2 linked regions of the Saccharomyces cerevisiae S288C genome follow. The gene in region 1 interacts genetically with each later gene. Each region holds a gene or a part of one and is shown on either strand. Other genes may lie near its edges. The genes, in order: PMP1 and NTF2.

Region 1 (2,947 bases):
CCACAGCTAATTCTCGGTTATGTACCGAACGTAGATGCCTTTGGACATAAGCATGGATATCCGTCAGAGTCGGAATACTATTATGAAGACTTCACTGAAACACTGGGGGAAGTAGATACATTTCTGAAGCAACTAGTGGAATCGCTGCAAGAAAGAAATTTAACCAGCTTTACTAATTTGGTCATTGTTAGCGATCATGGTATGAGCGATATCGTAGTTCCCTCAAATGTTATTATATGGGAAGACTTACTGGACGAAAAATTGAGGAAGGATTATGTATCGCACGCATATCTAGAGGGTCCGATGATGGCTATATCGTTGAAAGATTCCGGAAACATCAATGAGGTTTACCACAATTTAAAGACTTCTATAGATGAAGACAAGTATACGGTTTACGTTAATGGAAATTTCCCCAAAGAATGGAACTTTAATGATGGAAAAAATCATCACATGGCGTCAATCTGGATTGTGCCCGAGCCTGGGTATGCAGTGATGAAGAAAGAACAATTGAAGAAGGTGGCAAAAGGTGATCATAAGGACAAAAACGAAGACAATGTGTTCACGATTGGATCACATGGATACGACAATAACGCGATCGATATGAGATCTGTATTTATTGGTATGGGGCCATATTTTCCACAGGGATACATTGAGCCGTTCCAAAATACCGAAATTTACAACCTTTTGTGTGATATTTGCGGTGTGGCAGAAAAGGACAGAAATTCCAATGATGGGACTGGGATGCTTATGAACCAACTCCGCGAACCCCAGAGCAGCGAAGAAGTAGAGATTGAAGATGACTTTGATTATTTGGTCAGTAAGTTTGGTGAATTCAGCACTTATAATATAATTTGGGGCGGGTACCCCGAAGAGACAGAACAAGACAATGTTGACAATGATAATGATGACAACGACGATGGAAACACTGATGAAATAGCCGCTATGCCATCTTCGTCATTAACGATAAAACTAGAAATGACAACTTCAATACCATCAGCAACTGAGACTCTACTGGGCGAAACATCACCATCATCAAGAAGCAGCAGCAGCAGCAGCATACAAGCTAGCGCTACTGCTAGCACAGTGGGGGATTGGCTTCAAGACATAATCAACGACGCAAAAGATCTCATTGACGACATAATTGACAGCATCGACGATTTAGTCGATTCTGATACCTAAGCTTAAGGTGGGACAACCGCGTTATGAAATAAAAGACGCATCCTTGTGAGTCCCGCGCAAGAAAACATATGCACGCAGAAAGAGACTTTTATTTAGATTTAGTATATCTCTAAACTTAATTCAGAAGTGAACCACTCTCTCACATCCGATGACAGTGGGGTCAATAAGATGTACTAAGTAAGAAAACTAATTACACAATAAAAAGAAACAAGCTGAAACTAGGCGTGTTAACTCTTTCCTAAACGAGGAGGTTTATGTCGTCATTTGGACATCGAGCATTTTTCAGCTGTTGTCCTTTACTAGAAGGAGAAACTTTGCATTCAATAAAATTGCGCAAAGAGGCAACATACCAAACTCAATCCGGGTGGCCGGTTCGATGGCCGATTCGGTATCCGCGCGCACTTCCCCTAGAATCCCACGTGCACCCATACCATATGATCGTTAAATTACCGCACCCACGCACCCAACCGCGGCTGTTTCTATGGCTGTCGTTGCATTGGACAGGAATTCCTTTTTTGGGAAAGCCGGGAATAGGTCGCAATCGGGTAAAATCAAAACAATTTTCGCATTTCCAACAGAGTAAAATCAAAACAACTATGAGAAAAAAAACAACAAACAGAAAGCAGAAAGCAGAAAGATGTCAATATAGACTTGTCACTGCGTAATAGAAGATAGCTTCAATTTTTTCCGATAATAATTTCCCATTTTTTTTTTTCAAATTTAGCCTTCCGTGCTTGCCAGTATATAAAGCTTTGAAAGCAATTTATTGTTTCTCTTGTAATCTTAACTTCCCTTTTTTTCTCTTATTGCGTCTTATCTTCCTTTAGAGTTTTTCATTACTACCCTTTTTCCATTTATTCTTTTTCCCTTTCAATAGTATTTAAAGGAAGACGCTACACACTTTGAAGGAAGAGCAAATAAGTTAACTTTTTCATCTCTTTTTTTTTCTCAACTTCAAACTAGTCACTCAAGCAAACTTTTGTTCCTACATATCCTTTGTTTGTTTCTCCTCTTCCCATTTCAGCACTTTTAATCTATCATAAATGACTTTACCAGGTGGTGTTATTTTAGTTTTCATTTTGGTCGGTTTGGCTTGTATTGCCATTATTGCTACCATTATCTACAGAAAATGGCAAGCTAGACAAAGAGGATTGCAAAGATTCTAAAAAGGGCGGAGCGAGCCATTTTATTTCCTGTCCCCTTCATCTTTGTTTATATCCATTCTAGAACATGAATTAGACTACTATGTGTGTGTGTGCGATACCCTTTTTTGAATTCTTTCTACCTTTTATCCCTCACTATGCCTTTCTTTTATTTGTTTCGTCCGTTCGCTTTACTGTAAATGAACGTTGTTACTACTTAGTGTGCGTGCTCAAGTTGAATTGTGCTTTTTTTTTTATGGTTATGATATTTGAACTAAAACGAGTGTGTGTTTCGTATTTAGACAGATCCCGTAAAATCCAAATTGTTAGCTTTTTTCCTTTTATCACTATTATTTTTTTCCACTCTTAACAATGTGTGTGATTGTTAAGTCTGGCTGATGACTCCTCATGATAACTCATGTGTGTGTAAAATTGAGTTTTTCATGGTTGTTTTCAAAGATAAATTACATAGTAGTGTAATCAAAATAGTGTATGATTTTTTTTTATTTTTAGAAAATCTAAATAATAAATAAATAAAAAATAAAATACAATCCTTACAGAGATTAGGCCGTCGAGTGTGGAGTATGAGTATGCACAACTTATAGTTATGATCTACTTTTTCTCGT
Region 2 (3,047 bases), on another chromosome or scaffold:
CTTCAAAAGTTACAGAGGTTCTCAACCTGTGATATTTCGGACGGATTGTTGAATGTTTATAACATTCCAACGGGTGGTTATTTCCCTAATCTAACAGCAATTTCTCCACCGCAAAATAGCTCCATAGTAGGCACTGCATACACAGTACTGTTTGCACCCATTGATGATCCAAGACCTGCCGTGAACTATATAGACTCTGTCCCTCCCAACTCAATACTCGTCCTCGCACTGGAGCCCCATTTGCAAAGTCAGTTCCACCCATTTATTAAAATTACGCAAGCGATGTACGGGGGGCTGATGAGTACCAGAGCACAATATTTGAAATCGAATGGGACAGTAGTCTTTGGACGCATAAGAGATGTGGATGAACACCGGACTTTAAACCATCCCGTTTTTGCTTACGGTGTTGGATCTTGCGCTCCAAAGGCTGTCGTTAAAGCCGTAGGCACTAACGTACAGTTGAAAATCTTAACGAGTGATGGCGTAACCCAAACAATATGTCCTGGTGATTATATTGCAGGTGACAATAATGGAATAGTACGCATTCCTGTTCAAGAGACTGACATTTCAAAATTAGTTACCTATATCGAAAAGTCAATTGAAGTGGATTTACTTGTCTCTGAAGATATTAAGAATGGTATTCCCGCCAAACAAGCTCAAAATGATCGAAGATCAGTATTAAAGAAATACATTTAAAAACGCTATCTTCATACATATATATATATATATATCTTCTTTATCGCTATCGCCTTATACATCGTTAGCTAAGCATCTTCAATTATGCTAAACAATATTCGAAAATGAAAATACATGTTTCTGTGGTGACTTAAAAAATCCTTAAGCAGAGTAATTCAAACGGAAGATATCGTTAAACACGTAGTAAGAGTTTCCATCAGGAATCAAATGGAACACTTGAGAGAAACGCTGTGGATTTTGTTCTTCGTCAATCAACAGATCACCAGTGATCATGACTAAGACATCGCCATTTGGGGAAGCAGGTTGCGCATCCAAAGTAGTGATACGATGTTGGACCTTTTGAAATGGCAAAGATACTAATTTCTCAACAATGTCCTTTGCACCTTGCAATTGACTAGTCTCGAATGTTAGCATAGATTCATTTCTGTACAAGTTACCCAATTGGCTTCTATCGGTATCAAATTGATTATAGTAAAACTGGGTGAAGTTTTGGGCCAAAGTGTTAAAGTCGAGAGACATTATAAAGATAATAGTATTAAAACCTGGGTTCCTTAGGGGGTATTGTACACTAAAAACTAAAAAGTACTTACTTATCAGCCTAAGTCTCACCTTGCCAAGTCAGAAAATTTTTCGTTGCTTTTTGAGAACCACGCTTGTGGGACTATGTCACCCGGTATTAATGGGCAAATACTAACTTGGTGAACACTTATAGCAATAACAGTATCATAGCTTATGAAGAAAAAGCGGTCATAAAGACTGAGTCGGTGCCAGATATCTCCAGCTAGGTAACAAGGCTACGCAATTTATTCTATATTATGAGGTCCTCGAAGTCTCCTTTTAAAAGGAAGTCTCACAGTCGTGAGACATCACACGATGAAAACACATCGTTTTTCCACAAGAGAACAATATCCGGTAGCAGTGCTCACCATTCTAGAAACGTCAGTCAAGGTGCAGTACCCTCTTCCGCACCACCTGTTTCTGGTGGAAATTATTCGCATAAGAGAAACGTGTCGAGAGCTTCAAATTCCTCTCAAACTTCGAATTTTTTAGCCGAACAATATGAAAGGGATAGGAAAGCCATAATTAATTGCTGCTTTTCCAGACCCGACCATAAGACAGGTGAACCGCCGAATAATTATATTACACATGTCCGGATTATAGAAGATTCAAAATTCCCTAGTTCAAGACCTCCTCCAGATTCAAAATTGGAGAACAAAAAGAAAAGACTCCTTATTTTGAGTGCCAAGCCCAACAATGCCAAGCTAATACAAATTCATAAAGCAAGAGAAAACTCAGACGGCTCTTTTCAAATTGGTAGAACTTGGCAGTTGACCGAACTAGTAAGAGTAGAGAAGGACCTGGAGATATCTGAAGGCTTCATTCTTACCATGAGTAAAAAATACTACTGGGAAACGAATTCTGCGAAGGAAAGAACTGTTTTCATTAAATCTCTAATTACTCTATACATTCAAACATTCGAAGGTCATGTCCCTGAATTGGTCAATTGGGATTTATCCCTTTTTTATCTTGACGAGAGGAGTTATCAAAGAGCAGTCATCACAAATCGCCCCGGTTCCGTATCTCCAATAAAGTCACCTACAAGTAATTTCACGACAAACACTACCCAATCGGTGGGCTCTGTCCCCTTTTCAGCACCTACTGAGAGGACAAGAAGGTCTGAAACAGAAAGCGTTAATCCAGTGTCAACGCCTGCAAGCGTGGAATATCATGCAGGAATGAAATCTCTAAATAAGGCCCCCTATTCTTCCAATTCGACATTGAATGAAGTGAATAAAAGATACGAGTTAGAGCAACAACAGCAACAAGAAGAGGCTGAACTGAGACGATTAGAAGAGCAAAAAAGACTTCAGTTACAAAAGGAAAATGAGATGAAAAGATTAGAAGAGGAAAGAAGAATAAAGCAGGAGGAGAGGAAAAGGCAAATGGAATTGGAACACCAACGACAACTCGAAGAAGAGGAACGAAAACGTCAAATGGAACTGGAGGCTAAAAAGCAAATGGAGTTGAAACGTCAACGGCAATTCGAAGAAGAGCAACGCCTAAAAAAAGAGAGAGAACTATTGGAAATACAGAGAAAACAAAGAGAACAAGAAACAGCTGAGAGATTAAAAAAAGAAGAGCAAGAAGCGCTTGCTAAAAAGGAGGAGGAAGAAAAAAGTAAAAGAAACAAAGTAGACAATGAAAGTTATACTCAAGAAATAAATGGTAAGGTTGATAACCTTTTGGAGGACTTAAACGCAGTTTTGGCGGAAGAAACAGAAACCACCCCTACTATGCAAAATGGTACTTACGTGCCCGAGAGAAGTACAGCTAGAGCTCATGACCAATTA

What was found.
Region 2: mutations in PMP1 (region 1) and NTF2 together harm fitness more than expected from each alone (negative genetic interaction), as found in Saccharomyces cerevisiae (one large-scale study listed by BioGRID).

Annotation. Positions count from the first base shown.
Region 1 is NC_001135.5:162,343-165,289, reverse strand, and holds PMP1 (proteolipid ATPase), read left to right. Parts: upstream 1-2,222; coding exon 2,223-2,345; downstream 2,346-2,947. Other genes in the region: nucleotide diphosphatase/phosphodiesterase NPP1, read left to right, coding at 1-1,179; YCR025C (uncharacterized protein), read left to right, coding at 1,434-1,844; YCR024C-B (uncharacterized protein), read left to right, coding at 2,425-2,691.
Region 2 is NC_001137.3:170,283-173,329, reverse strand, and holds NTF2 (Ran GTPase-binding protein NTF2), read right to left. Parts: upstream 1,216-3,047; coding exon 838-1,215; downstream 1-837. Other genes in the region: YER010C (bifunctional 4-hydroxy-4-methyl-2-oxoglutarate aldolase/oxaloacetate decarboxylase), read left to right, coding at 1-696; GTP-Rho binding exocyst subunit SEC3, read left to right, coding at 1,512-3,047. UniProt on the Saccharomyces cerevisiae protein: Facilitates protein transport into the nucleus. Interacts with various nucleoporins and with Ran-GDP. Could be part of a multicomponent system of cytosolic factors that assemble at the pore complex during nuclear import.